4 linked regions of the Alligator mississippiensis genome follow. The protein of the gene in region 1 interacts with the protein of each later gene in a biochemical or structural test. Links are inferred from orthologs where the notes say so. Each region holds a gene or a part of one and is shown in the gene's direction. Other genes may lie near its edges. The genes, in order: CHEK1, DTL, ATR and CDC25C.

Evidence for each region.
Region 2: of the proteins of CHEK1 (region 1) and DTL, one has a biochemical effect on the other in vitro, tested with the Homo sapiens proteins (2 studies listed by BioGRID). The link is inferred for Alligator mississippiensis from reciprocal best matches to the Homo sapiens genes CHEK1 and DTL.
Region 3: of the proteins of CHEK1 (region 1) and ATR, one has a biochemical effect on the other in vitro, tested with the Homo sapiens proteins (7 studies listed by BioGRID, with this or other methods). The link is inferred for Alligator mississippiensis from reciprocal best matches to the Homo sapiens genes CHEK1 and ATR.
Region 4: of the proteins of CHEK1 (region 1) and CDC25C, one has a biochemical effect on the other in vitro, tested with the Homo sapiens proteins (16 studies listed by BioGRID and IntAct, with this or other methods). The link is inferred for Alligator mississippiensis from reciprocal best matches to the Homo sapiens genes CHEK1 and CDC25C.

The regions. Positions count from the first base shown.
Region 1 is NC_081839.1:21,788,207-21,795,917, reverse strand, and holds the start of CHEK1 (serine/threonine-protein kinase Chk1), read left to right. Parts: upstream 1-4,699; 5' UTR 4,700-4,800; coding exon 4,801-4,865; intron 4,866-5,221; coding exon 5,222-5,445; intron 5,446-5,481; exon of another isoform or gene 5,482-5,573; coding exon of another isoform or gene 5,574-5,631; intron 5,632-6,670; coding exon 6,671-6,735; intron 6,736-6,826; coding exon 6,827-6,896; intron 6,897-7,711. UniProt on the Homo sapiens protein: Serine/threonine-protein kinase which is required for checkpoint-mediated cell cycle arrest and activation of DNA repair in response to the presence of DNA damage or unreplicated DNA.
Region 2 is NC_081824.1:190,023,324-190,030,265, reverse strand, and holds the start of DTL (denticleless protein homolog), read left to right. Parts: upstream 1-3,929; 5' UTR 3,930-3,968; coding exon 3,969-4,041; intron 4,042-4,099; exon of another isoform or gene 4,100-4,267; coding exon of another isoform or gene 4,268-4,313; intron 4,314-4,595; coding exon 4,596-4,721; intron 4,722-6,803; coding exon 6,804-6,896; intron 6,897-6,942. Other genes in the region: INTS7 (integrator complex subunit 7), read right to left, coding at 3,104-3,233, 3,751-3,922. UniProt on the Homo sapiens protein: Substrate-specific adapter of a DCX (DDB1-CUL4-X-box) E3 ubiquitin-protein ligase complex required for cell cycle control, DNA damage response and translesion DNA synthesis.
Region 3 is NC_081830.1:56,496,758-56,504,704, reverse strand, and holds the start of ATR (serine/threonine-protein kinase ATR), read left to right. Parts: upstream 1-4,937; 5' UTR 4,938-4,985; coding exon 4,986-5,044; intron 5,045-5,269; coding exon 5,270-5,361; intron 5,362-7,947. UniProt on the Homo sapiens protein: Serine/threonine protein kinase which activates checkpoint signaling upon genotoxic stresses such as ionizing radiation (IR), ultraviolet light (UV), or DNA replication stalling, thereby acting as a DNA damage sensor.
Region 4 is NC_081832.1:79,615,504-79,623,347, reverse strand, and holds the start of CDC25C (M-phase inducer phosphatase 3), read left to right. Parts: upstream 1-4,842; 5' UTR 4,843-4,857; coding exon 4,858-5,003; intron 5,004-5,097; coding exon 5,098-5,195; intron 5,196-5,410; coding exon 5,411-5,450; intron 5,451-5,470; exon of another isoform or gene 5,471-6,268; coding exon of another isoform or gene 6,269-6,366; intron 6,367-6,721; coding exon 6,722-6,755; intron 6,756-6,858; coding exon 6,859-6,975; intron 6,976-7,289; coding exon 7,290-7,388; intron 7,389-7,824; coding exon 7,825-7,844. UniProt on the Homo sapiens protein: Functions as a dosage-dependent inducer in mitotic control. Tyrosine protein phosphatase required for progression of the cell cycle. When phosphorylated, highly effective in activating G2 cells into prophase.

The DNA.
Region 1 (7,711 bases):
TTGCAATCCATCCCAACTTCCAGATCATTAATGAAGATATTGATCAAAACTGACCCCAGGACTGACCCCTGGAGTACTCCACTTGATGCCAACTATACATCGAGCCATTGATTGCTACCTGTTGAGCCTAATGGTCCAGCTAGCTTTCTACCCACTTGACACTTTTCATCCAACCCATGCTTCCTTGACTTGTTTTTCAAGAATGCTGTGGGAGACTGTATCAAAATCCTTGCTAAAGTCAAGGTATATCATGTCCACTGCTTTCCCTGCATCCACAGAGCCACTCATCTCATAGAAGGCATTCAGGTTGGTCAGACTTGACTTGCCCTTGGTGAATCCATGTTGATTGTTTCTGATTACTTTTTTCTCCTCTAAGTGCTTAAAAATGGATTCCTTGAGGCCTTTCTCCATGATTTTTCTGGGGACTGAAGTAAGGCTGACTGGTCTGTAGTTCCCTGGATCCTGCTTCTTCCCCTTCTTAAAGATGGGCACTCTATCTGCCAATCGTTTGGGACCTCCCCCGATCGTCACAAATTTTCAAAGATAATGGCCAGCAGCTCTGTAAACATATCAGCCAACTCCCTCAGCACTCTCAGATGTATTGCATTCAGCCCCATGAGCTTGTACGCATCTGTTTTTTCTAAATAGGTCCTAACCCATTCTTTCACCACTGGGGGCTGCTCACCTGCACCCCAAACTGTGCTGCCTGATGCAGTAGTCTGGGAGCTGACCTTACCTGTGAAGACTTGAGGAAAAAAGGGATTGAGCACTTCAGCCTTATATCATATGTCACTAGGTTACCTCCCCTATTCAGTAAGCGACCCACATGTTCCATGACCTCCCTCTTGTTGCTAACGTGCTTGTAGAAACCCTTTTTGTTACCCTTCCTGTCCCTTGTTAGCTGCAACTCCAACTGTGCTTTGGCCTTCCTGATTTTATCCCTACAAGCCCAAGCAACACTTGTACTCCTTCCTAGTCATCTGTCCAAGCTTCCACTTCTTGTAAGCTTCCTTTTTGTGTTTAGGCTCACTGAAGAGTTGCCTGCTAAGCCAAGCTGGTCGCCTGCCATATTTGCTATTCTTCCTGCAGTTCGGGGTGGTTTGTTCCTGTGCTCTCGGTGAGGTTTTCATTACAATACAACCAGCTCTCCTGGACTCCTTTCCCCCCTCAGACTGCCCCCCCCCCCCCCCCCCCCCCCATAGGATCCTGCCCATCAGTTCCCTGAGGGAGTCAAAGTCTGCTTTGAAGTCCAGGGTCCATACTCTGCTGTTCTTCCGAGCCCTCCTCTCCTTCCTTTTGTCAGGATCCTGAACTTGATTATCTTGTGGTCACCGCTGCCCAAGTTGCCATCCACTTCTGCATCCCCCACCAATTCTTCCCTGTTTGTGAGCAGCTGGTCAAAAAGATCATGGCTCTTGGTTGGTCTCTCCAACACTCGTACCAAGAAGTTGTCTCCAAAAACTTCCTGGATTACTGATGCCCTGCCATATTGCCCTCCTAGTTCCCCATGAGAACCAGGGCCTATGATCTGGAAACTTCTGCTAGTTGTCCAAAGAAAGCCTCATTTATTTCATCCTCCTGATCTGGTCATCAAAAACTTAGGGAACTGAAGTCCACTCCATGACTGGGTAGACAGGGTTCTTTAAGACTGGTTGACAGTCAGTCTAGGACTGGAGCCTCGATTGAACAAATGGACGATCTCTGTTCCAGCAGCTCCTGCGGCCCAGCTGGTTCCAAACATACTGCCGCCTGCCTCTCCTTTAGCGTAAACCAGCAAGGCTGGGAGGAGAGGGGGACGCTAGTGTGTGGACAGCTCAGTGTCTCCATATACACCGCCCAGGCTTGTGCACCTTGGAGAGATCACTTCAGCTTCACTTTATCTTAGCTTATGCAGGGGGTCGGACTCGATGATCTATTGAGGTCCCTTCCGACCCTAACATCTATGAATCTATGAATCTTTCAACCACATATTACTTTCAGCAACCTAATGTCTTGGCATAATTCTATTGTCTTGTGAGATTGGCTAATAGTTCCAAATGAATAACTTCACACGTTCACAGTGAAAAGAGATGGCAGGTGCTTATCCAAAAATCCTTATATGGGCCTATATTTCTGCCTGAGAAGACTGTTGCATGTTTAATAAGAAAAATGGATGAAAAACCATACTGTAATTCTTAATGTGGTTTAAACCCAAACCAAGTTGTCAAATAATGCCATTATGTCCCCATTCTTTCAAATAGGTTCCATGCTCATAGTGATATGTATTAAAAATTCATATTTCTATGCATGTGTATCCCTGATTAAGTTCTGTATGTTTGACTAAAGTAATGTTCCATAGTGAAAACTGTCATTTCACTTCGTCTGCCTACCCTCATTAGTAAGCAGAGGGTATAACTGTCTGAAGGGCTACTTGAGAAACAGGGCCTCCAGGGTGGGTCTCCCTACCCAGAATTTACTACTAAACCGGTACACGTGGTATAGCTCCTGGATGGCAGCCCTGGGTGAGATCCCTTCCCACGTCACTGGGCCAGGTAGTAGTTCCCCAGGTTGGTTTACTGCTAAGATTGTGATCAATTTTGAGGTACAGTTAAAGGTTAATAGTTAACATTTTGCTTAGGGTGTCCCCTTGTTCCCTTTTTCCCTTGTAATAAATCTGTTTTAATTTAACATTTGCTTGCAAATGGGCAGGTTTTGTTCATGGTAGAACACCCAGTACACATTTACTTTACCAAATTTCTGGGTTGGGGCTTGAGGTAAATTTGAAAAGTTGGTATAAAACCCCTATATTTGTATGCAGCCATTCTTACTGCTGTCTAGCACCTGGCGAAACAGCAATGTGCAGGCCTTACAGGGTGGGTATCAATTGGCAGGCTGGTACTCAAAAACCAAGCTTCAAGTTCAAGCAATGACCTGCCTAGGCTTCTTTAAGAGAGTCCCTTGGTGGTGGTGATGTGGGTTTTGGGGTGATCTAAAGTGGGTTTTGCCCCATAACTCCAGCCCAAAATAAGATATTTGTATAAAGCAATGTACCTAGCATGCAGGTACTGGCAGGTGGGTGGCAGGTGGGAGGCTGGCACTCAAACCAAACATTGGGTCGAGCATGGACTAGCTCAAGCTTCTTCTAGAGAGTCTCTGGGTGGTGAAGAGGAGTGTTTTGGGGTGCTCCAAAAAAGATTTTGCCCTATAATCCCAGCCCAAAGTCAGCTTCTTATTCACAGGAACATACATAGCACACAAATCTGGGAGGCTGTCGGTTGGCAAGCTGGTGCGCAAAAACTGAGCTGTGGGTCAGGTAGTGCTCTGCCCAGGCTTCTTCAGGGGAGTCCGCTGGTGACAGACGTGTGTTCTTGGGTGACGGGGAGAGGATTTTACCTGATATCCCCAGCCCAAATTCAGTTTCATATTCAGGGCTAGGTACAGAGGACATGGGCTTGGGGCCTCAGTTGTCAGGTTAGCACTTGCAAACTGAGCCTTGGGTCGGGCAGGCTCTACCCAGGCTTCTTCAGGAGAGTCCCCTTGAAGGCAGAGACATTTGTCTGGGGTGACTCAGAGAGGTTTTCCATCAGTAATCCCAGCCCAAACCTAGCTCCTTATTCAGGCCTGGGGGCCTGTCTAGGCAGCCTGGCACACAGAAACCAAGCTTCGGGGTGGGTAGGACTCTGCCCAGGCTCCTTGGGAGAGACCTCCTAGGGTGGGGACGTGTGTTGGGGGTGATCCAAGAAGGATTTCCACCCATTATCCTAGCCCAAACCCAGTTCCTAATTGAGGCCTGTGAGTGGGCAGCTTGGCCTGCAGAAACCCAGCTTCGGGCCGGGCAGCGCCCTGCTCAGAGCTGTCCCCTGGTGCCATAGGCGTGTTTTGTGGTGGCCCGAAAGGGATTTGCCACAGCCTAATTTCAGGGCTATGTACTTGATGCATGATATTATTTTACAGTTTTATTAGCAACTATCCATTGATGAAGTCCTGATTCTTCAGTCAGCATCATTCATGACTAACAACCTTGAACAGTGTAAGGATTCGCTTTGAAATGGGACCTGGGAACAAGTAGGGCTGCCAACTCTGCTTGAACCTATTCCGAGAGGTTTCTGGGCCGCCGCCATGCCCGCGACATGCGCCGCCCCGCATGCTGCTGTACATCGGTTACGGATGACGGCACGTGGACTTCACCTCAGGAAGGCAAACGCACCTTACTATTACGTTTTAAAAAGCCACCGGACCGCGAAGAGCGCGCGCCTTCGGAGGCTGGGAGGTGGCAGCGGTGTCGGGGGCGGTGAGTGGGGACTGCCTACGGTGTGTCAGTGTCCAGGGGCCCGTGAGCTGCCAACCTCAGGGGGCACGTGCCCCCCCCACGCGTTGCCTATGCAGTGGCCGACGGTAGAAACAGGATTTCACATGTAATATTCATTTTAATGGAGGCCCATCCCTAGGTCTCCGGGTGGCTTTCAGCGCTCTGCCGGGCACGGGTTTCTAGCTCCTGCAGACCCCGGGGTAATCCTGCAGGTTTGGCGACGCCCGAAATAAGGAACCGGCTTCGCTTCCCGCCAGCCCGGGGAGATGGAAGGGGGCGGGACCCGGCCGGGGGCGGGGCGGGGCGATGGAAGGGGCGTGGCCCTGGCCGGCCGGGGGGCGGGGCGGACGGAAGGATGCGGCGGCGGGCGCCGCCATTGGGCGGGAATCGCGGAGCGGGCGCTCGGGGTGGGGGCGGGGCTGTGCTGCGCTCCTCTCGCCGTACCGTGCCGTGCCGTGCCGGGCGGGTTGGTCTGGTCCGGTCCGGTCCGGGTCCGGGCGCCGCCGGCCGCCATGGCCGTGCCCTTCGTGGAGGACTGGGACCTGGTGCAGACGCTGGGCGAGGGCGCCTACGGAGAGTGAGCGCGGGGGCGCGCGGGCAGAGGCCGGTGTCCAGCGGGAAGCGGGCGCTGTCAGGAAGGAAGACATGAGGCGGGGCGGGGCGGGGAGCGCGGGCGGCCGGCGGTGGCTCTGCGCCGCTGACGGTGGCGGAGACAGACCCCTTGGGCTGAGGTGGGGTGTAGCCGGTCCGACCCCGCGGCCGTGTGTGTGTGTGTGGGTGTGGGTGTGGGTTCCGGCCGGGCGCTGCGCGGGGACCGTGTGTGTGTGTGTGTGTGTGTGTGTGTGTGTGGGGGGGGGTTGTGGTTCCTGCCGGGCGGGGAGGGGGGCCTGCTCGAGTTGAGGCTCATGAGGGATGTTTCTCGTTTCCCTGCAGGGTTCAGCTGGCCGTCAACAGGCGCACGGAGGAAGCCGTTGCCGTCAAAATAGTTGATATGAAACGTGCTGCCGACTGTCCAGAAAACATCAAGAAAGAAATTTGTATTAATAAGATGCTCAATCATGAAAACATCGTGAAGTTCTACGGGCACCGGCGAGAAGGCCACGTCCAGTACCTCTTCCTCGAGTACTGTCGAGGGGGGGAGCTCTTCGACAGAATAGGTAGAGCACATCGAGCGGCTTCCCGCGCCGCCCGCACGCGCCGATCTGCCTTCCCGCGCCCCCCAGCTTGCCACGCGCGGGGTGTTTAGCTGGTGTGTCCTCCTGGCAACATGTAGATCCTGCTTAGCATGAGTTTGTGCGCCTCAAGGAAGTCTCCATCGAAATTGGCAAGAATTTCTGTACACGGTTAAGTTCACATCTGTCAATTATTGCTTAATCCCACTAGAAGTTCAGCGTCATGGTTTTTCACGGGGAGAGATAATTTAAACAAGTAAACTATGCCGACTTGAGAAATTCACTCAGCTGGGATTAATAAGGCCAGTGTTTCCAGTTTCTATATATTCTGATATTTCATTTCAAAGGAAAAAAACCTAGTCCTTATGGTTGCAAAAGTCAGTCTTCTGAAAATAAACAGGGTGAAGTGAGATACAGACGTCAAGAAAATATGCTCGTATGTTAGACTTCTAGTGCCTTTGCTGCAGCTCTTGGCTTTCCACCGAACCGATGTGTCAGTCTTAATTATTACTATTTGCGTTCTAATGAGCAGCAGTAGAGCCAGAAGGAAATTGGTTTCATTCTACTGTTGGAAAGATCTGAGCAACAGTTAGGTACCAGAAATGTCGATAGTTTTTGCACAGGATAGTTTTGCGTAAGCAGAACCTGGCGACTTGTTTAGGCAGTGGTCATCAGCAACCTTTAGGCTGCAGGCTGGAGTGACCCAGTTCGGGTCAGAGGTGGGTGTAGGGGCAGCTGAAGCCACCTGCTGCTGAATCCTGCTGAAGCTTCATCGTCCTGGGCTGTCTCAGATGGCTCTGTGAGCCACAGATGCTCACCCCTGCTTGTAGATGTTGGGGGCAATATCTTGCATTAGCCAAAAGGATGGCGATATGGAGGCTTGCTTCTAAGGTTAATGGGAGCTGCCTTATTGCTTGTCTGCCCTTGGACAAGAGGTCATCCAGCTCTTGTATAGGTCTCTTGATAACTCTGCCAATTAGTTTAGTGTTAAAGCTTCTGTGCCCTTTGTGGAAGGAGGAGGAGGGAGATGAATTTGGGGGTTGAAAGCTTCTGAGGGGGGAAAGAGACGATATGGAAAGGAACAAACAAATATATTAGAGGACAGAAACATTGGCAAGATACTCTTTTCCCTATCATGTTTGTTTGTGATGCTAGAAGTGTGTGGATCTTTTTTTTTTTTGTTAAGTGGATTCTGAATGACTTTTTTCAGAGCCTGATGTAGGAATGCCTGAATCAGATGCACAGAAGTTTTTCCATCAGCTTATTGCTGGGGTGGTAAGTATTTGCCTTCTACATTTATTTAAAACTTTCATTTGGGATCATATAAATCATAAGATTCAAGATTCTCTCTCTCTTTCTTTTTAAGGTGTATCTCCATGGTATAGGTATAACCCACAGAGATATTAAGCCTGAGAATCTATTGCTAGATGACAGAGGTACGTCTAGAGCTAGTTATTTTGTTTTCCCTTTAAATTTTGGTGGTTAGGTGTACAAGGGAAGAAGAAAGTCTGTGTCTGTTGGTGAAACTGAAAACACTTCAAGCTTTCTGAGGATGCTGCAGGCTTAAGAGCAATCTAGTTGAGCAAAAGTTGATTCATGCTTCCAGGACTTGCATTCATTCCCCTGCCCACATGCAAATTTGGTAAACCTGTCTAGGTGTTCTGGAGCAGAGGCTGGTCTCTGCAGAGATGCCGGCACCTTTTCAAAGAACATTCCTATGGAAAAATGATACCTTCTTGAAAAGCTGTTTCTACAGAATTTGAGGAGTGATAGAAATGCTTCTAGGACCTTTGGGTAAAGCTTTTATTAAAACTTTTTAAAACAAAAATATTTCTTGTAGGGTCCTAGAACCAAAATATTACAGTATGGATCTAGGATCTGAGAAACTGGAATAGACTAATGATGTGGATCCTTCCTCTGCTTTGCCAGAACATTGTGTGATCAGGTTACAGTGGAAAGAAAAAATAGCTTTCCACAATTTTAATTTTAATAATCGAAGATGACATTGGGGTGGGGGAACGGACTTTTAAAAACAGCCGTCTTTCCTGGCTGTTCCTTCTAAAACAAGAAATCTCTGCGTAAACTGTTAGTATTTTTTCCTTATAACACAGCTGTGTCTGGATCAAGTGTTTTGTTTCAGGCTTCAGGTCATTTGTTCAAATTTCCTGTGGTCTATAACCAAAAAAATGAATATATCTGATCTTTATTTATATCAAGGTCCCTCTTTGCTTATCTGGCAAAATGGTGGCTT
Region 2 (6,942 bases), on another chromosome or scaffold:
GAGAGGGGAGTTCAAGAAGAGTGGTTGCTCCTCAAGGGAGCGATCCTCAATGCACAAACTAAGTCTATTCCATCTCGCAGGAAAGGCAGCAAGAGGGCACAGCAGCCCCCCTGGCTCTCCAGGGACCTAGCAGACCTCCTGAGGCTAAAAAGAAAGGCCTACAAAGGATGGAGGATGGGAGTCACCTCCAAGGAGGATTATTCTGCACTGGTCCGGTCCTGTAGGGAGCAGACCAGGAAAGCCAAGGCTGCAACTGAACTCCAGCTAGCTTTGAGCATCAAGGACAATAAAAAGTCCTTTTTTCCGATATGTGGGGAGCCGGACGAAAAGCAGGGGCAACGTTGGACCCCTGCTGAACCAGATGGGGCAACTGACAACTGACGCCCAGGAAAAAGCCAACCTATTAAATAGGTACTTTGCGTCGGTCTTTCATCAGTCCCATGGGACGCCCATGCCCGCTACTGGGCCGGGAAGTCCGGGTGAGGGTGATCCCCTGCCCTCCATTAATGCTGACTTCGTGAAGGAACATCTTGAGAAGCTGGATACCTTCAAGTCAGCCGGCCCTGACAATCTTCACCCCAGGGTACTCAAGGAGCTGGCGAGCATCATAGCCCAGCCTCTAGCGCGGATCTTTGAAAACTCTTGGCGCTCTGGTGTAGTGCCCGAAGACTGGAAGAAGGCCAATGTGGTGCCTATCTTCAAGAAAGGGAGGAAAGTGGATCCGGCTAACTATAGGCCCATCAGCCTGATTTCTATCCCGGGGAAGATCTTAGAAAAGTTTATTAAACAGGCCATCCTTAATGGACTGGCCGACGCCAACATCTTAAGGGATAGCCAGCACGGGTTTGTTGCGGGTAGGTCTTGCTTGACCAATCTAATTTCCTTCTACGACCAGGTGACCTATCACCTGGACAAGGGAGATGAGATTGATGTCATATATCTTGACTTCAAAAAAGCCTTCGATCTGATGTCCCATGATCGTCTCTTGGAGAAGCTGGCCAATTGTCGCGTTGGGTCCTCCACGATCCACTGGCTGGAAAATTGGCTCTGGGGTCGGACCCAGAGGGTAGTAATTGATGGAAGTCACTCATCGTGGTGTCCTGTGACCAGTGGGGTCCCCCAGGGCTCTGTCCTTGGACCCATACTGTTCAACATCTTCATTAACGATGTGGACACTGGAGTCAGAAGCGGACTGGCCAAGTTCGCTGATGACACCAAACTTTGGGGCAAAGCATCCACACCAGAAGACAGGCGGGTGATCCAGGCTGACCTGGACAGGCTCAGCAAGTGGGAGGATGAGAATCTGATGGTGTTCAACGCCGATAAATGCAAGGTTCTCCACCTTGGGGAAAAAAAACCCGCAGCATCCTTATAGGCTCGGCAGTGCTATGTTGGCTAGCACTATGCAAGAAAGAGACTTGGGGGTCATCATTGACCACAAGATGAACATGAGCCTGCAATGCGATGCTGTGGCTAGTAAAGCGACCAAAACGCTGGCTTGCATCCATAGATGCTTCTCAAGCAAATCCCGGGACGTCATTCTCCCCCTGTACTCGGCCTTAGTGAGGCCACAGCTGGAGTACTGCGTCCAGTTTTGGGCTCCACAATTCAAAAAGGATGTGGAGAAGCTTGAGAGAGTCCAGAGAAGAGCCACGCGCATGATCAGAGGTCAGGGAAGCAGACCCTACGATGACAGGCTGAGAGCCCTGGGGCTCTTTAGCCTGGAAAAGCGCAGGCTCAGGGGTGATCTGATGGCCACCTACAAGTTTATCAGGGGTGACCACCAGTATCTGGGGGAACGTTTGTTCACCAAAGCGCCCCAAGGGATGATGAGGTCGAATGGTTACAAATTACTACAAGATCGTTTCAGGCTGGACATAAGGAAGAATTTCTTTACTGTCCGAGCCCCTAAGGTCTGGAACAGCCTGCCACCGGAGGTCGTTCAGGTGCCTTCATTGAACACCTTCAAGATGAAACTGGATACTTATCTTGCTGGGATCCTATGACCCCAGCTGACTTCCTGCCCTTTGGGTGGGGGGCTGGACTCGATGATCTTCCGAGGTCCCTTCCAGCCCTAATGTCTATGAAATCTATGAAAAATAATCAGATTTTATATGGGGAAAATTAACACATTTATCATTTTCCATGTATATAATGGAATTATTGGGTGAGTCGTCTTAAATTCAAGGCTGTCTTGGAGTCAGGTAAATACAGCATATGCATACAGCAAGCATTATGATAACCAGAACAATATACTGTATCTATGTACTACAACCAAACACCTCTAATTCTGTCTTCAGTGAGTATTTTGCACTTGGAAGGGCAACAGATGAGGCTTAAATTATTTACAACACAAATGGAGAACAGTCTCTTATTTCAACTTTTTGATCCTAAAGGCTTATACCAGTGGTGCTCAACCTCTCTGCCCCGTGGGCAAGATGAACGGTGTGGGGCCAGTCCACATCCAACATTGGGGCAGTGCTATCTAGCTTGTGGCCTGAGGCTCAGAACTACCAGTTTGCACCAAAGCAGCTCCACAACGACTGCTTATCAGTCACTGGTAACTGAGGCAAATCCTCAGTAGATGAGATGGCAAAGGGATGGAATGACAAATGGCTTTCAATCCTTCACTGCCACTCCTGCCCACGAAGGACGAGGTTGGCAGGCTCCAGAGACAGATCCTCTTTCAGCAGAAGAGTGCAGTAACACAAATGCAGTAACTGCTAGCATTGCATTTGTGCAGTAACACAAATGCAATGCCAGTGGTTTTCAAACCTACTGAAGTCATGGAAACTTTTCACATCACTTCTTCTGCCATGGGACCCCCACCCCTATCCCAAAGACTAACACTATGATACAGAGCCAGGACATCATCTGCCCAGCAATGGCAACACACTGCCCATGCCTCTCACTCCCCACCCCGCCATCTTGCTCCACTGTTACCCCCAGCCTCTTTGCAGAACCAGTGGCGAGCAATGCTCCAGGGATCACAGTCTGAAAATCACAGCGCGACAACTGCCCTGGCTCCAAATACAATGAGGAGAAAACAAGGGAGAACTTGGGGATCGGGGGCTTGAAGCAACGAGGGAATCATGCCACTCACCCAACTCTGAAAACATCAGCCAGCTTCAAGAAGGCTGAGTTAATGAGAATGGGGAAGGGATACTTCTGAAAGAGCCGGGGGAAACGGACCACGGCTTCGCACTGCTCCCCGAGTTTGCCAGACCGGAGCCCTGCGGAGAATGAGCCATGGTTAGTCTCTCCTGAAGCATCTACAGTTGTCTACAACTCAGTGCTAATGAGAACAAAAAAGCCCCAGCCTGGGAGAGCCAGGGCCTGGCTGCAGACTAATAAAGTAAGGGAAGAAAGTGAAAAGCAACAGGCCTATTTGATATGCCCTGACGTCATGGGCTTCAACCCATCACGGAAACTAAGCGCCCCTTAGGGGAGGTCACTGGTGACACCAAGAAAACAGGAACGGGAGCGAAGTCATACGGTAACAACTAGAGCATGGAAAGGGGACACCTAACACAGCACACCCGCACAAAGGCTAGGGGCGACCCTAGGGCGGCTGTCCTCCCCCAGGCGCGCAGCCCAGTCGGGGCCCCGGGCCGCTGAGGCGCGCAGCCAATGGGGGTACGACGCAACCGCCCCGCCCTCCACGCCACAAGCGCGGACTCGGATCCGCCCCCACAGCACCGCCCCTCCCCCGCCGAGGCGGCGGTTGGGCGCCCGGGGTAGGCGCCGCACCCTTGTCCAGCTCCATGAGGGCCGAGTTGGCGTCCAGCTCCTGCTCGCCGTAGCCCGCATCGGCCAGGAACGACTTGGCAGCGCCGGCAGCCATGGCTCTCCGGAGGGCTGCCACAGTTAGGACACGACTTCCGGCCACGCATGCGCAGTTACCACTCTCAGTGAGGCGCATGCGCACTTACTCCACCACCAGGGTGGTTGGGTGTAGCGGGCGGGATATGGGTATGCCCCCTCTCAGCCAGCAGCGGTCGGGCCATGCGTGGGCGGAGTCATACTCCCGCCGGATAGGAGGTAGTACTCAGTGCGCAAGCGCAGCGACAGACTTGTGCTTTCTCGTCCGAAAGGACCAGGGACTTTGCTAGCCCGCTATGCCGAACCGCCCAATGGGAACTAAGGGGCGGAGCCGCCGAGCTTTCCCCATGGGGCGTTGTCCAATGAGGAGCTTGAGCGGGGTTTGGCGGGTAGCGCGTTGGCGGGAGTTTTCGCCGTGCCGCTATCGTTTGGCTGCAACTAGGACATGCTGTGCCGCTCGCTTCTCCGCCGTGCCCGCGGCGGCCCGCAGCGTGAGTCATGGACCCCGGGCCCAGGCACAGCTGCCGCGGCTCGGATGGCTCCCCTTAGCCAGTGCCCTGTGCCGGGAGCCGGAGCTTTGCCCGCTTCTCTCCGGAGGAAGGGGATGGTGGTCGGAGCCACCCTCTGCTCGGGGCCGCACCCGCGGGGCGCTGTTCCCCGTGGGGACCTGTGACCCTCTGCTGAGCCGCTGTTTATGAGGCTGTGGCCCCGGGAGAGCCGGTGGGTTGTATTTCCGAGTGGCTGGTAACTGGATTCTTTCTCTGACCTTGTAGGCCCGTCTTGGCAATACTCCCTCCAGCACCTCATAGACTGCTATCAGTGCAGTCAACAAGATGACCACCTCTCTTATGGAGAGCTGGGGATGCCAGTCCCTCCCTTTGGCTGCACCTTTCCTACAGGTAAGGGATCTTTTTGAGAGTGCTGTGGAGGGACAAAGCTGCATGCGTGCGGGGGAGCAGATGTTTATTCTTCATGCTTTATTGCTTTTGTTTTAAAAAAAAAATTAAGCCTCATTTTACACCTGGGACAATAAAACTGGTAACTTAAGAGGAACAAGCTCTGAGGCCAAAATGCCCTGCGCTGTTTCGCGTGATCTGTGCAAAAGCCTAGTTTTTTGTTTTCAAGGTAAACTGATTAACAATATGATGGAACAAACCTATGCAAGGTGGTAGGATGGCAGTTTCCCTCTGAAAAAGCTGTTGTTTAGTGCAGTAGAACCTGGATTTTTTTTTCCTGAAGGGCTGGTTTGAAACCTGTTTAATTCAGTGTGGGTCACTGTATTAGGGGCCAGCCATTTAGCTGATTGCTTGACTTACTTTAAAGGGCACAGATCAGCTACTGCTCATGAGCAGTTCCACGTAGCTGATCAGAGAAGCACCACCCTTTGAAATAAAAGCTGCTGAAAACAGCTGGGTACTTAAGGAGTTCTGCAGAGCTGTTTGCTGTAGCCATACCTGTTGGGTGGAAGCTCATCTAAGCCCTACTTCTCTGTGGGCGGGGATAACTCTGTAATTAACCACAGGCACTCATCCCACAAACAGTCAGAAGCTTTATTGGCTACAAAACATCTACTAAGCACAAAACAATTCATCAACTGGGGTTGCCAGAATAGTCAAAAGTAGTCAATTTTACTGGGATTGGCAGAATATAAGCAGTTAGTTACCAAAGACTGAATGCATTAACGTGACTCTTCACCACTTCACAGTCTGTCTAGACCTGTTATGCAGGAGTTACTTCCCTCAGGCGGTCATTCTGGGAAAGCTTCCTGGGTTGCGCTGTTGTTCCAAGTCTAAAGGCTTGGTCCTCCTTTAGAGATCCATGCAGATGTCTCCCTCAGAAACTCATGCAAATGGTTCAGATAGCATACAGGGACACTGACTTCACTTGCTTAGGCTGCTTAACCCTTTAGTGACATAATCATTATCTAGCCAAGCTTGTTATATAATATTTTGGCTCATGGATCCTAAAAATACAATAGCACGCCTTGGCACCTTGACAATATTATTTTCCTGTTGTTTTCCCATCCCCAAATTAATTACTCCCCAAAATTACCACGTTATCAGTTTATTTTATGGTACTATTGATCCGTTGTTTTAAATGTTCCATGTTCCCTGGCATTTTACTGGGGTTACCTTTAGGCCACAATCATTGCCAATTTTGAGTCATCTCGAAAAGACTCCTGGGAGTTTGGTCAACTTGACATGACCAGATTCGATTTTCCTTGCAACAACCTGGAGCCCACTCCCAGGCTGCCCTGTGGCTCCTCTGTATTGCCACCACTGCCCCACTGGATGGCCTGGAGGTGGTGGTGACAGCAGCGAAGAGGAGACACAGGGCAGCCTAGGCCCAGACTCTGGGCCACTGCAGCAAGAATGGCTGGGCAGTGGTGAAGGGGAAGGCCTGCTTTTCCCCCATGCCAAGTAGCAGCTTCTGCCCAGCTGCTGTTGCCACTGCTTAGCATGGGCAGGTGAGTGTGGGGCAGGCTGAGGTCAAGGTTGTGCACATGGGTTCCAACTGGTCCACTCCACTGGTCACAACAATGGTGTGCGACTAACAGAATTAAAAAAAAATTAACATGTTAATTTGTTTTTGCATCAATCATGTAAGCTAACTGCAATTAACTAACAGCCCTAATTTATACTGTAAGATTTAGAGATGAGACATTCTGCTTGGTCATCTTTGTCCTCTGCTTATTCAGCAGTTTATAGCAGCGAGGAATTTTAGATTAGTGGCAGAGACACAGCAGGCAAATCACATTAGCTGTCTATTTTCCCCTTTCAGAACCATTAATATTCTATCACTAACCCTGCACATTAAACACTATATAAATGCATAGTAATTTAGGTATTTACAGCATAAGTAAGTGCTAATTATTTCCAGATTTATGCACTTGCTGTTTGTGTAGCTCTCTCTTTTGGGGAGAAGACCAGGAGAAAGCTATTTTAATGCACAGAAATGAATCCTACTCTTTTCTCTTTCAGCTCCAGATTTGCAGCACATACTTGCAGTTGCAAATGAAGAAGGTTTTGTCAGGCTATACGATACAGAATCTCAAACCAAGCAGATCTTTAAAGGTGAATGTCATACAGAATAAGATCTGAACTAGGTGTGAGAGGGTGT
Region 3 (7,947 bases), on another chromosome or scaffold:
GATTTAGGCATGCCTGTTATTCTTCTGCAAACATGATGTTTTCTACTATAATTCAAATACCCTTTATACATCTTTTTTAATGTTAAGTTATTCAAATTATGATATAGAAACCAAAACAGGTGCTAGGCATTTTCCATATAGGTAAGAGAGAATCCAATCCCAAATAATTTAATCTAATGCATTCATCATGCAAAGTTACAAACATGCTAAAGAACAGATTGTCCCTATTTGCATAATGAAGGCCTATACAGACAGCATATGAATGTAAAGGGTAAAGGGGATAGGAAACACCTTTCACTAGATCTCAATATTTTATATTTTCCTTACTGTTACCTATTCTATTTTGTCCTGTAGTTGAATTTGTACCAACCTGCATTCTGTTTGCCAGTCGAGATGCTTACTCAAGTTACATTTTTTAAATTATTTCTTCAAAATAATTCTTAATTTATTATATTGTGTTTTAAATTATCAAAATGATTCTACAAGAGTTGGATTTATTTTAATGATCAAACCCTTCTGCCATTTAAATCTGTGTTACTTTGTTCTACTCAGACCAGGTGGCACTGAAAAAGAGCTGAGTTTTCCTTGAACAGATATTTTTATGATGTACAGAATAATATCCAAGCCAATGTGTTCAAAGGTCTATCAACCATTCTGCCAACTAGGTTAGCACCTTCATGACCATATATGGAATTAAATCCTCAGTTATCATACAGGCTATCAGGTACAGTTAAAGCACCAGAGCAAACAACCAATAAGTTATAAGGACAGCCTTAGTATCAATAAAAATTAACTTATTGCAGTGCATGACTATTCATTCCACCATCCTGACTGACATTTTGAACAATGACATCCAAGTTACTCTGACTTTAAAGAGAAGTGAAAATTTTCTGGTAAAGGCAGCAGTGATAGTACAGCAACTGTCTTGGTGTGGTTGGTCCTCTTCATATAGCTCCAGAATGCCCACTTTTCAGGACCACCTTTGTCAGCACTGAACCCATATTAACAAAACCGAGAAAATGATTCTGGTGTGGATCAACACTCCAAGTTTCTCTCATAACCAGCTCACAACCAAATGACTAGACTAGAGTAGACCCCAGCTGTCGCTCTTTTGCTCCAAGTCAAAATTAACTTAATTAAAATGTCACCCAGTTCACTCTAAGATACTGTTAAGCATACGGCAGGAAGGGCAATAGGACAGCATGGGATAGAAGACAGAGGATCAAGGGATCAGCTCTTTGGCCCTTATGCAAATGAGAAATGAGGGGGAAGAGAACAGTTCTTAGTGTATACAACTTGTTGATTCTGGCAGGAAGCTTTACGTTTGTGCATACACTGATTCTCCAATCTCACACAGTTTTTGCTACCTGCACAAATCCACACTGACACTGGATGAGGGTTGTGGACATATGGGAGGTACAAAACAATAAGGATAACACTCACTACACAGATATGAATGGATATATTTTCACTAGGAGAAGAAAAATTTGAACTGTGTGTTCAGCCACAATGCACTTCCTCCTTTTGTGCATCCATTTGGGTCATAGTTCTTCAGACAGAAAGAAAGAACATGGGGCACAAAAGTGTGAGACAATGGAATGAAGAAGAAACAAAACAAGGTGAAAAATAGGACAAAGTAGGAAAAGGAGAAATTATATGGAAAGACAAGGAGAAGGACCTGGGAAAAGGGAAACAGGGGAGCAGGAAGCAACGTGGCAAAGGAAAATGGAAGAAATTATCCTCGACCAAAATAAATTATTATCCTGCTCATTGTCTGTTTGCTCTTGGTTATTCTTAAAGGTTTTTTTTTTGTTGGAAGTCAGAACGTATACTTCTTTCCCTGAACAGCTCCCTCTACTGGATACTGAAGCAGGAATGGGTCTGGCTTTTGGGGGCCTGTAAAAAGACATGGGGAACCTCTAGAATTTTTCTCTACTTCAGGTACCACACTGGAATTTGAGTACCAGCTTAAGCAAGATCTCATGCCATTAGTAGCCTTTAGAGATTTTTTAACAGACGGGCAAAGTAAGCACAAACATATTTACCAATAGGGCTTGAAAAAGGTGGTAATGAGGCTTTTGATCATTAGAAGTTTAAGAGCTAGCTTGGGTTCCTGTACAGCACTGCATTATGCCATACAGACTAGGTGTCTGAATTGTATTCCATGTATAGTGTACTTGGAGAAGAGAATCATATGACCCAAAACATTTGTGCCATTCTCCCATTTTGGTTTACAATTAGAATAGCAATAAAAAACCCCAGTACTGGGCCAAACTCCTGGAATCTCCAGATAGCTTAAAGTTTCTCCTAAAGTTACCATCAACTATTACAATGTTAACAATACTGACAAATAAAACTGTCTGTCTGTCACAGGTATAGCACAACAGTACAATTCATAAGTGATTACTTCTGCTTTCTGCAGACTTACCAAGACAGTTTGTATTCTTTACAAATATAAAGGCTAGAAAGCTGTTGGACTTTTAATTAAATAAAGTTTAAATTCTGCAGCACTATGTGCATGAAGGATCTGCCACTGTAATTCCAGACGTGTTCATTCTGACTTCTGGTCTTCCCATGCCATAAAGTGCCATTGGTCAGGCTGCAGTTGGAGTATTCTGTCCAGTTTTGGGTGCCACACTTCAAAAGGGATGTGGATAACCTGGAGAGGGGTCAGAGGAGGGCCACTCACATGGTTAGGGGCCTGCAGGCAAAGCCCTACGAGGAGAAACTGGGGGCCCTGGGTCTTCAACCTCAACAACAGAAGGCTGAGAGGTGATCTTGTGGCCACCTACAAATTCATCGGGGGGGGGGGGGACAGCAGGGAATAGGAGATGCTCTGGTTACCAGGGCACCCCTTGAGCTAACTAGGAACAACGGCCACAAATTGACGGAGAGCAGATTTAGGTTAGACATCAGGAAGAACTTCTTTACGGTAAGGGTTGGCAAAAACTGGAATGGCTTTCAAGGGAGGTAGTGCTCTCCCTTACCTTAGGTGTCTTTAAGAGGAGGCTAGACATACACCTGGCTGTGGTTGTCTGACTCCAGCACTCTTTTCTGCCCAGGGCAGGGGTCGGACTCAATGATCTGCTAAGGTCCCTTCCGACCCAAACATCTATGACTATAAATCTATGTAACGCAGACACCATGAAGCCTGCGTCTCCTGTTTGCTGACTGGGAGCGGCTCTCAAGAGTTAACATCTAATATGTTCAATAAGTAGCAAAAAGGAAAGAGAAACAAATGAAGATTAATCCTAATTAAGTGTTTCAAAATCTTTTGAAATGTCACAGTTCCTTATCATGGTATCACTAGGGCTTTGAAAATACTCGACAAACAGAGAGTTAAATTCAGATGTACGAATATAGGCATGCATGTAACTGAGTGCAACCACTTTTGAATAAAAAAAAAAAAAAGAACTGGTAACCATCACTAACAATTCAATAACTGGAACACAGGCATGCTCGCTCAATTTCCTCATCTGTTTTACATGCAAAATTCAAAGCATCATAGCTGTGGAAACAGGCACCAGAAACAGAAGCCACAGAGAGGATTTTATTTCAGTGTGTGCTTCTCTGCAACACTGTCAACAATGCAGGCAAGACTTCATAAAACAAACACAATCAACTGCCCTCCTCAATAAAGAAAGCCCAAGTCAGGTCACTTCCCTTTAGACAGTAACATCCAGGAGAATATGTAGACATCAGTAGACACATACAAATAAATAGTTTTCTGTGTATTTCCTGAAGTCTGGAAAAACTGTTTACATACGGAAAGGCAAGAGGTGCAAGAGCTTCACAGTCTCAGTCATGTCCTACTGCCTTTCATAAAAAGTGTCTTTAATTTTCCCCCTGGCATGAGGGAGGAGGTTGTCGGGGGGAGATGTCTGACAGGACTGTTGGGCCACTGCTTTTCCAGCACTTTATCCCCTCTCCCGCCTTACCTAGTACAGCTTGTCTTCCGAAGAATGAACTGCACTTTTTAAAAGCGGCCTCTAGTTTTCGCACATACTACATTAAAAGAGCCTCCCGGGAAGAGCAGCGCCCGCCTGGGCACAGAGAAGAGACTGGAGAAGTTGATCCGTGCCACAAGATCCTGCCCCCGCCACGGGAACCCCCGCGGACGCATCTCATCAGGCAAGTGAAGGGGCGACAAGCGCAGCCCGCTCCCCGCTGCCCAGCCTCTGCCCGTCCCTACCTCTGCCCGCAGCTGCTCCGGCCCCGGCCCCGGCCCCGGCCCCGTCCGCGGAGCCTCTTCGGCGGCGGCGGCTGCACCAAGAGTTGCCGGGATCCAGCAGACACCTGCTGTGGGCGCCGCCGCATCCCCCGGACAGGCAGCTGCCAGCGCCAATCGCGCTGGGGTGGGCGGGCCGCTCGGGGGCTGCCGGGTCCCGCTGCTGCCGGCGGCGATGGGGACAGCGAGCACCGCCTTCATCTCCCTGGGGCTCCCACCGCCCTGCCCCTGCCCCGCCCCGCCCCTCGCATGCGGAGGCACCAGGGCTCCTGCGTTCCCGGGGACTAGTGGGGAGCTCAGCGCCCCTCGCGGGGCTGGGCGTGGAGCCGCCTGTCGGCACCTGCTGAGACACCTAGAGCCCCCGGGCCTTAAGTTGCTGAGAGCCTGCCCCCCTGCCACGTGCGGAGCTGCCCCGGCCCCAGCCCCTCCTAGTTACTTCTGGCCGGTGCCGCGCGTGGGGCCGGCTGCGCCGCCCAGAGCCCCCGGGGTGACCGGGACCTGCTCCCGCTCAGCCGGGACCTCTTGAGCTGCCTAAACCCCCACGGGGCGCCCTGCAACCCGCCCATAGCCCGGACTCCCCGGCCCCGGCGTCGCGCGCGCGCGGAGCTGGCGCGTGGCTTTCGTGATGCTCCGCTGCCCCACGGGAAGTCGCTTGTGCTCGTGCAGCGCGCCAACCGAGGCGTGTTGGTCCGCGCCGGCCGCCGTCCCGAGCGCTGGCCCCGCCCCCGCCCCCGCGAGCAGTGGCGCGCTGGGCGCGATGGCGGAGCCGGGGCTAGGCATGGCCTCTATGATCCCGGCGCTGCGCGACCTGGGCAGGTAGGTGCGGCCGGGCGGGCACCTGGGTCCACTGCTCTGTGCCATGAGCGCCCCGAGCGGCCGGGCCACAGCGGTACCCGCGCGGAGCAGCGCAGCGCCGTGTCCGCGGCGGGACAGGCCGGGGAAGCGGCGCTGTGGCCGGGCTCAGGGAGGCACCGATGTTTCCCAGCCTGAAAGCCGGCTCGGGCACCGGGTGGTGCTGACGCGCCCCTTCTTCCCCCGCAGCGCCGGGCCCGAGGACTACCCCAGCGTGGTGCAGAAGCCCAGGCAGATCCTCGGCCAGTTCGTTGACAGGATCCTCACGGATGTGGACCTGGGTAAGGGAAACGGGGCTTCAGGGCGCACCCCCCGCTGCCGAGAGTGGGGCGAAGCTCCCTTGGTTGGGAACAAACCTGTGGGTCTTCTCCCAGCAAAGGCTTAGCAGACCTGAAGCAGTTTATTTGTATAATGACAGGGTTTCTAGGAACACCAGTAGAGTTGAGTGAACTACAACTGTCTAAATAAATGCTAGTGTAAGTGCTTGTGTGTGCCTGCATGTGTGCATACTTGTGTATGCTTTTGCACATGCCTGTGCTTGTGCATATGCTTGTGCGTGTCCATAGATCTTCATCAAGGGTGGGCAATTATTTCGGGCTGAGGGCTTACTGAGTTTTGGCAAGCCATTGAGGGCCACATGACAAGCAGCCAGGGGCAGATAAATATTTATTTTCTAAATGTTTTAGGGACCCCGTGGTCCTGATAAAATGACCCGGCGGGCTGCATTTTGCCCACCCCTGATCTACATGCACATCTGTGCATGTGTATGCAGTGCTGTGGCAAGGAAGTTTGGCTCCTGGGGCAAACCCACAGCAACAGCTCGCCCTTATCCTTCGCACAGCTTGCAGGGGGCAGGGTGGGACACACGTTCCCCTCATCAGTGTTTGTCTGGGAGTGCATGCGGTGGTGGGGGAGCCACCCTTTCCCGTCCCCACGCCTCCCCAAATGAGCTGTTCGCAACTCCATCCTGTTGGCGCCCCTTCGGTTTGGCACCCAGGGCAGTCACCCCATTTGCCTCCAGCCCTTTGCTACAGCACTGCATGTGTGCATGTGCGAATATATGTACATACACATATAATGATGTATTAAAAAGCAAGGAGGCTGCATCATAAATGTGCTCTGTTCGCTGAAGAAATAAATCCTGCCATTCCTTATTTGAACATTTTGCAGGATTGAGTTCTTATTTTGGCATCTTTAGTTTTTAATTTTAGAATGCTGTTGTAACTTATTGTAGCCCTTGCTAAATCAGAGGTGTCAAAAGATCCAGCCTGCAGGCTACATGCCATCAGTGGAGCCACTGCAGGCTACATGCCATCAGTGGAACCATGTCATGTGTCCCATGTAATTAGAAAGTTAGTAAGAGTGAGCAGTGGCAAGATTAATTGCTGTGGCTTGTCTTGATACCAAATTTCCAACCCCATATGCTGGATACAGAGCAGGGAGCTGTCATCTGGCCCATGGGGCTGCCTGTGAGCTAGAAATTTGGTGGTGGATCAAGTGACTGCTGCCTCTCCAAGAGCTGCAACAAGTTATATATTTACCTGAATCCAAAATGACCTTGAATTTAAGAGACCCCCCAATAATTCTCTGTGGAAAATGTATACATTTATTATAGTTTTCCCTGTATAGAATCTAATTATTGGGGAATCATCTTAAATTCACGCCCCCACCCCTGCAGGTGACAAGGGGACAGGCAATGAGGCGACAGTAATGGGGCAGACAGTGAAGGGGAACGTGTAGGGCAGGTGGTAGGGGTGCAGTAATGGGGCAGGCAGTGGAGGGAGCAGTGGAGATACAGGGAGTGGGCAGGCAGGCATAGATTCATAGATTGTTAGGAGCTGGAAGGGACCTCACAAGATCATTGGGTCCAGCCCCCCTGCATTAGGCAGGAAAGACAGCTGGGGTCAGGTGACCCCAACGAGGTGATTATCCAGTCTCTTGAAGATTTCTAGTTGATGCATGGCAGAGTATTGTTTTCCCTGCTGGCTACAGCAGCACACTGATGGCTCATGTTTATACTATGTTCTATTATTACCCCTAGGTAATAATAGTTATAGTTTCAGTCGTGGTGCTAGCAGGGCTGTCCCTAGGGGTGGGCAAGTGGGGTGGCTGCTGTACAGGCCCTTCTGCGGCCTCTGCGCGCTGCCTGCTCCGCGGTCCAGCCACTCCACCGCACCCCCACACAGGCTGATATGCCCCAGGCCCCACACACCCCTAGGGACAGCTCTGGGTGCTAGTCAGTTGAGCACCACCGAGCTTGTAAGTAGTATGTTGGGGATTATTCATCCCCAGATGGAGCACTTTACACTTCTCGAAGTTTAATTTCATCTGGTTCCGATCCGCCCAATTTGCCAGCCTGTCTAGGTCTGCCTGTATCTGCAGCCTATTTTGAAGTGTGACCATGCTACCCAATAACTTGGTGTCGTCTGCGAACTTGGTCAGTGAGCTCGTCACCCCGACATCCAAATCATTGATAAAGATGTTGAAAAACACTGGACCAAGCACGGACCCCTGAGGGACACCACTGACCACTTCTCACTGAGGCGACACAGATCCATTCATTAGAACTCTATAGGTCTTACCCCGCAGCCAGCTTCCTACCCACCTAACTGTCAAACAGTTAAGCCCATAATCCTCCAATTTCCCTGTGAGACCATTGTGGGAAAGTAGATCAAAGGCCTTTTGGAAGTCTAGGTAAACAGTGTCAACCTCCTCTCTTTTACTTAGGTGGCGAGTTACCTGGTTGTAGAAAGAGATGAGATTGTTAAGACAAGACCTGCTCACAACAAAGCCATTGCACATAGACTCCTTGAAGAATTTTTCTAGGATTTTCCTTGGGATAGAAGTTAGGCTAATTGGCCTATAGT
Region 4 (7,844 bases), on another chromosome or scaffold:
GAAGGCGACGGGAGCCTGAAGCAAGGCAAGGGCAAGGGCAAGGGCAAGGACAGGAGCAGTCCTGGAACTGATGGCCGCTCAACCGCTCCGATTGCAAGTTAGCTGCCCCAGCAGAGTGACATTACACAGAGCAACTTGTTGACTCCAGCACGTGCTGCTGTTGCTCCTCTCTCTGGAGCCCGCGGCTCCCACGCCCCCGTCTGTCCTGCTCCGGCCACAGGGACGGGGCAGCAGACCTATGGCCAACTGCGATCCCAGCTGGGCTGGGTTCATGCTGCTGCTTAAGAAAATGCGAACAGCAGCAAAGGTGGCGACTGCAGTTACACCCCAAAGGCAACAACCGAAGGGGTGACTGGGAGCAGCGAGGGAGCAGAGGCTGCCCGACCTGTAAGAGACCCTTGCCAGGGTGCAAGAGCATCTCAGCGTGCTTAATTTGTTTGGGAGAAAAACCAGATCCGGATCGTTACAAAAAGGCCACCCCCGTAGGGAGGATGCAGGGGCTCCCCCTCCCCGAAGAAACTCCGTCCCTATCCCAGGGGGGTCACAAAGCGCTCCTCCAAGGAGACGCCTCTGAGCCCCACCAGGCACGGCCATCGCCCATCGCCCAGCAGCCACCGCCACAGCGCAGACAACAGCCCCGGCCCGGCCCCGGCCCCGGCCCCGGCCCGAGCTCGCGCCGCGGGACGCCCAGGGACCCCGCAGCGCCCGGCGCCGGCCGGACCCGCCTGGTTTGCGGCAAGCTTCCCCCGCAGCTCCGGGCGCGACCCGCCACCCCGCACGGCCCTGCCGGCTCCCGCCGCCCGCCCCGGAGCGCCAGCACGATGTCGGCCCCATGTCCCGCGGGGCCTGAGCCTGCTCGGCGCGCTCGGGAAACCTCTTACCGGGCGGATGCCGAAGGACGCGCGTGTCGGCTCCTCCAGCGCCCGCGTCTGCAGCTGCTCCGCCACCAGCGGCACCATGGCTCCCGCGAGCCAGGCCCGCCGCGCCGCGCCGCGCCGCGCCGCTCAGCAGGGCCGGGCCGGGGCAGCGCCCGCCGCGCCGCTCCTGGGCCCGCCCGGCCGGGGCTCCGCGCGCGCCATCCCCGCCGCCGCCCCTGCGACACCACGCCGGGGTCCCTGCCCCGCGCCGCCCGACAGCGCCCCGCCGAGCCTCCGGCCACCAGCCCCGGGCAAGCGGGGCCCCGGCGCCCGGCACCCGGGCCCGCTCCCACCTCGTCCAGCGCCCGGCTCGGGCGCGCGGGCGCCGCCGGCTCGGGCTCCCCGCACCCGGGCCCGGCCGAGCCCGCAGCGCCCGCGCGGCCCGGGCACCCTGGGAAGTGTAGTCCGCGCCGCCGCCATCGCCATCGCCGCGCCCGCCCCGGCCCCGGGGCCCGCAGCACCGCCGCCCTCACCCCGGCCCGGCCCCCGCCCGCCCGCCCGCCCGCCCGCGGCAGGGCCCCGCCGCCTCCCTGCGCCCGAGCGGGCGGCCCGGCGCTCACCCCGGCCGGCGGCCCGCGTCCCCTCGGCCCGGGGGCAAGGCAAGGGCCCGCCCCCCCGGGCCAGGAGCGCGCTCCCGCCGCTCCCCGGGGCCAGGAGCCCGGGCAGCAGCTGCGTCAGGGCGCAGGCTCCGGCTCCGGCGGCCCCCACCGAGCCGGCTGCGGAAGACGGGGTGCGCCGCACGCCCCGGACACGCGGCCCCAGCCACAAGCAGCGTCTCCCCGGACGTGCAGCCTGCCGGGATCCTCCTCGGGGGGCAGGCAAGGAGACGAGGGGCCCAGAGCCGCCAGCTGAGCGAGGGGGAACCAGCGTGAGCCCGACGGGAACAGGAAAGCAATCCAAGAGAGAGGCACAAGGCCAGGCCCCGAGCGAGGCCCGCTGATCCCTTCCACCACTCTTCCCCGCCCCCAGCGCCCCCTGCTCAGCCCCACCATCCCTCCGCAGAAAGCCTCCTGCCCCGTGGACCCCCGCACCCCACCAGCATCCCCCGCCTACCTCTCCTAGTGCTGCTCTGGACAGGCTCTGGGGAGGCCAAGCCAAGGCTCCCAGCCAGTGATCAGAGAGGCAACACAAAGGGTCTGTCTCCATCTCCAGCGCTGCAGAGAGCTGCCAGGCCCTGTCTTGCAAGGAAACAGCAGTTCCAGTCACTGACCCCAAAGAGAGAGGCAGCAGCAGCAAGTGCTGGGGCACACCAGGGCTCAGAGCTGCGGGGAGGCACAGCAGTCTCTCTCCCTTGAGCCCCAGCCACGGTGGGCAGGATTGCTCCCCAGAACACACCGATGCACAGCCACGTGGGACACTGCACCCAGTCTTTGCTCTCTAATCAGACCCAGCAACCGAAGGCCCGTTCCCCAGCTCTGCCCCCCTCCCCAGCAGCACCGGAGATGCCCGGGTAACTCCACACAACGCAGGGAACCAGTTTCCACGGCACATGGTGCACGTCAAGACGTGCGAACGCGTCCCCAACACTGTGCACGACACGATTTCTTTGCATAGCCCCTCTCCTTCCAGAGGTGCAAAGCACCCGCTGCCCAGTATCATAAGGCGCCAAGTCTCAGTGGGCCCCTGACAACTGGAGGCCTGGGCACGTTAACGCCCCATTCACTGACCGTCTCGAGCCATCTGCACGGGCAGGTGTAAGGGCAGCCGCACTCAGCGAGCGTTTTGAGGCGGCACTAAGGAGACCACCATCCAGCCCAGCGTGGGCACAAGCTGCCCCGTCACCCTGCCGCACGAGCACTCCCCCTGGAAGGCTCTGGAGGAGCCAAACACCTGGCAGACACTTCCCTCTCAAGTCCTTGGTGGCACTGGAGAGGATGCTGGCTGGGCGGGTCCCACGCGTGCAAGGCCCGTCTCCACAGCCGGATCTGCATGTCCCAGGAGCGGCGGCTGTACTTCTTGTACTTGTTTGGGGTCTGAGGGTGGACCTCTGCCTGCCGAGTGGACCTACAAATACAGCATCGCATTCGTCATGAGGAAGGGCCAGATCCTCCCACCTCGGGACAAGACCCCTTATCCTAGCGGGAACAGGACAAGAACGGCCCCGCCGTCCCCTGGGGCAGGAAGAGCAACTTGCCCGTCGGCAGGGTCAGCGAGGAGGAAGAGGCGCTCCAGAGCCAGGGCTCCCAGACTGTCTTATTGCGTGCCCCCTCCCAGATCTGCCAGCTGCCCCTTTCACGCCTATTATTATTATTATAATGGAAATTCAAGTTGCCATTACCCAGTTTCTCTCAGGTACCCCTCACATGTCTTGCACACCCCAGGGGTGCAGCTTGGGAGCCCCTGCTCTGGAGCAAGCTCTGACGTCTCCCCTGTGCCGAGGGCCTGTGGCCAGAGCCAGCAGGCCCGCACGGGGAGAGGAGGTGAAAGACAAAGAGCCCTCACTTGGGAACCTGCTGCAGAAAGCGCTGGTAGCCCAGGGTGTTCTTCCCATAATCAATTTGCTTCTGCCTACGCTGCAGGGTGCTCTCATCCGTCTCGATGTCAGATCTGGGGAACAGGAACCCAGTCAGCACCGGAGACCCGAGACCCGAGCCTGGACAAGCCACGTCCCTGGCAGAGACCACCACACCTGCATCCCGAGCCGGCTCCTTGCGCTGGGCTGGGCCACGTGCCGACCCCGACGCTGACCATGCGAACTCGGAAAGAAACGGGCTCGGAGGACACGGGCCTGCTCCGGGGGAGAAGAGCTTGCTCAGCGGCACCCCGCAGCGTCCAGGGGGCTTGTGTCACCGACGGAGGCGCCGCGCCGCGTTCCCCCAAGTCAACCGCTGGGTCCGGGACGCGGAACCGGAGCTGCGCCACGGGGCCCCCGGGGGACGGAGCCCCGGCTCCGCGGGAGCTCAGGCCCGAAGCACGGAGGTCTGCCAGGGGCGCGCGGGATCCCTCCACGCGCACCAGGTCCTTTCAAGGGCGCCGCGCAACGGCACCGCTGCTGGGTGCGGACAGGGCTCGGCGCACACCCGGAGCTGGCGTCACAGCCCGGGCGACCTGCGGAGGAACCGCTCCCTCCCTTCCCTTCCTGCGGGCATCGGAGCGGACGCTTCGCAGCTACGGGCGCGGCGAGCCGCTGCTCCGCGCACGGGGCGCTCCGGGCTGTGCGGGGCGCACGGACGCGCAGCCGCACCCGTCACACCGCGCAACTGCCTCACCCAGCCCGCCGCTCCCGCCCCGCCCCAGTCTCTGCGGGGGACCGGCGCCCCCCACAGCCGCCTGCCGGCACCCGAGCCCGCCGCCGCTCCCCCGCCCGCCCCGGCGCCGCCTTTCCGCGGGCGGGCATGCCGCGCCCCCCGGGGGCCGCAAGGGTCGGCGCGGAGACCCCCGCCAGGCGGGCAGCGCCCGGGTCTCCCTGCGCCGAGCCCCGCTGCCTTCCCGGACGCGGCGGGCGGGAGCCTGTGCCACAGCCGCGGCCGGGACCGGGACCGAGACCCCGGGCTGGGCACCGGCAGAGCCGCGGGGAGCGGGGCGGGGCGGCCGTACCTGCGCCCCGCCGCGGGCCGGGAGGAGGCGACGGGCAGCATGTACGACACCGCCCGACCCGGCCAGGCCCGGCCCGCGCCGCCTCTTGGCGCCTGCGCCACGCCCACGTGCGGCGTCGACAAGCTCCACGTGCGCCCGCGTGCGGCCATTGGCCGCCCGAAGCCCCGCCCGCCGGCGGAAGCCCCCAATGGCAATAGCCCTGCCCGCCCGGGCTCCAATAGCGGGCAGCGCAGCGAGCCAATCGGAGAGCGGCTCTGGGGTTTGTTTTCCCCCGCCCCCAGCAGCGCGCTGATTGGTGAGGGGCGGAGAGCAGCGCGCTGATTGGCCGGGGGGCGGGGCGGCAGGGCCGGGGGGCGGGTTCTATTTACATTCAAGTGGGCGGCGCGGGGTCTCTCCGCGGGCCATGTCGGGGCGGCGCTCGCCGGGGCGGGGCGGGTCGCGCCTGGGGCTGCGCGCCGGCTGCCGCATGGTGCTGGGGCTGCTGCGGGACGCCGACCTCTCGCTGCCCTTCTCGCCGGACCTCGCCCGGGGCCTCCGCGCCTCGCCCGGGTGAGCGCCGCTTCGCCGGCCTCCGCGCGGGCCGCCGCCTCCCGTGGGGCCCGGCCCGGCCCGGCCCTGAGCCGCTCGCGCGTTCTCCCCGCAGGGCCACGCCGCGCTGCTGCCTGGACCTGTCCGACCTCAGCGCCGGCGAGGAGATGACCGTCTTCCGCTTCGCGCCGTCCCCGGGCGGGCCCGAGCCTGGTAGGCGCCGCCGCCCCCCGGCCCCTGCCCCGCCGCCCGGCGCTCGTGGCGGCGCGGCGGACCGCGAGGATGCGCGCTGGGCCGCGGCGGGGGCCGGGGCTGCCGGGCGTTCCCAGCTGCCCGGGCCCGCCCTGGTGCCGGCCGCCTTCGCCTCGCTGTGGCTCGTGCCCGGCGCGGCCGCTCGCTGCGGGTGTCGCCTACTTGTGTCTCTTCAGTTGCAGGCCGGACGGACGCGCCGGGACGCGGGCAGGGGCCGTAAGTGTCCTGGCTGCTCGCTGCTGCGGGGCCGGCGGTCTCTGCGCGGCAGCCTGCGCCGTGCTGCGAGCGGGGCCTGTCCCTCCCGAGGCTCCTCGTCCGCTGCGAGCGGTGGCGGGCGTGTCTTGTGCCCGGGTCAGGAGTGCTGGGTCGGGCCGGGCGGACGTCCTGTCCCGTCCCGCGAGCCGTCCTTGCCTCTGGCCGGGCAGCGGCTAGGGCTCTGCTGGCTCGGACCGTGTCGCGCCCAGCCTGTTTCACGACGCTGGGAGTCTGGGCGGTGGCGGCACTGCGCGGCAGTTTGAAGCACAGCTATTCTTTGCGTGTTCGCAGTGGGTCGATTGGCCCAGGGCTCTCCCTTTGCGCAGAGCGCGCTGAAGTGGATCTGTCTCTGCCTCGGCTGTCCTGTCTTACAAACCTTCCAGCTGCGCTGATTTTAGCGTTGGCCTGTGGCTTTTCAGCTGCCGAGTCCTTGTCCTCCTACTTGAATCTCATTTCAACACAACCCCTGCCCATCTAAGCGGTTAGCCGAGGAACAGAGATGGTAGTATTGTTGGTTCGCTGCTGTGCCCGCCTGCCCATTCAGGGGACGGTCCAGCCCGTTCGGCACGTGTGGCTGGGATGCTGTCAGAAACGGCTGTTGACTCGCTTGTCAGCGTGTCCGTGCCGTTCGGGTGTTGTCCCCATCTGGACAGCTCCTGCTGAGCGCGGACAATGCACGAGTTCCTAAAGAGCCTAGAGCGGCTGCTCGTCCCGCAGCGGTTGGGTGTCTGCAGTACCTGCCTCTTCCAGGTCTAGCACCTGCTGGACCTGGACAGGTGATGTTTGCACAGAGGCTGATGCGCGGGTGCCAGCTGTGTTGGATTTGGTGTTATTTCTTACTCGGGTTGACACCAGAATCTGGAAACCAGAGAAACGAGTGAGTAGTTTCTGAGCTGTCCTGCCAGTCTCCAGCCAGCTGGCTGTGTCCCGTTCAGCACAAACGGGGAAAGGGTGTAAGATGACAGAAAGGATCCCGCGTTCAAGTCGCAGCACTGCCGCTGACACGTGGCGTGGCCTCCAAAACTGTCCTCCCTGCAAAATGGCATGATCCTGCTGGCGGGGGCGGGGTGTCACAGGTGTCCTGAATTGTCGCTGAGCGCTGTCACGGGGCTGGGAAGGGCTCTGTGGATGCGAGGGAGGATGCAGGTAGGGATGGGAGCCCTGTCCCAGGGCAGTGCAAGCTGGCCAGGAAGAGGGGCCAGGACACTGACTGGCTATCTTTCTTCCTGCAGAGAGTCGCAGAGGCAGTGTCTGAGGTCTCTCCCGGTGAGTACCTTTTCGTCTTCAAAGAAAGGCGATTTGCTGTCTGGGAGATGTGGCGAGTCGGTGCGCTGGGATGCTGGCTGCAGCTCTGAGTTTATGCTTACAGTTGTCTCCAGTGAGCGTTCCCTCCTGTCCGTTCCAGCCCCAGGTACGGTGCAGCACACCAGGCGCCATGTACTGTGAGAGCAGTGAGATGGCCAGTCCCCTGATGAGCATGGCAAAGGTGAGTCCCTGCTGGACCAGCGAAGGGCAGGCTGGAGCAGTCTCAGTACTGGAGTTCCCTACGACACGACAGTGTTTTGCAAGTGCTGCTTTTGGGAGGGTTGCAGTCTTCCAGGAACTCTAGATTCCCTTCCTGCTCTCACCCACCCACCATGCTGGTGACCCTCCTCACAGCCAGTGCCCAGTGGCTGCTTAATGCCAGGGTTGGAGCTGAACTTGCCTTGGGCTCTTGACCTGAGGGGTGGGGGCTTGAAGGTAGTTCTCAGCACCTCCTAGAGCCAGAGAGCTGAGAGCTCCTGACCCTTCTCGTTTCAGGAGGGGGGCTGGTTTAAGCATCCAGGATGGCATGTGTCCAAGCCCTTGCTGTTCCATAAGGAAGTGATGGATCCTCTGACTTGCCTTACTGCTCCGCTGGTGAGTTAACAGCTCAGCTCCTCAGAATCCAGTGACTCCCTCCCACGGAGTGGGTAGCAGTACAGCGACAGAGCTCGGGCTGGGTGAGGGTTCCTCCTACGAGAGGGGAAGGAGAAGAAGCTGGGCTAGATCAGATCGTCCCTCTCTGACCATGAGTACCGTCTGTTCCTCAAATGAAGCCCTGACTCCAGTACAGAATCAGGAACTGGAGTGGGAACAAGCATTCCTCTTCTGACCCTGGGGCAGATCATGCACTCTGCTCCAGGCAAGCTCTAGAAAATACTCCCTGCAGTGAGGCTACGCAGGCACTGTAGGGAGTCTGCCTCTACTCTCCGGAGTTTCTCTGGATTGGTGGTTGGTGCTGGAAAACACGACAGAGAAGGTATGGGAGCTGGGTACCACTGCAGCCCCAAACTCTTCTCCTCTTCCCTGCTAGGATGTAAGAAGCCTGGAGTC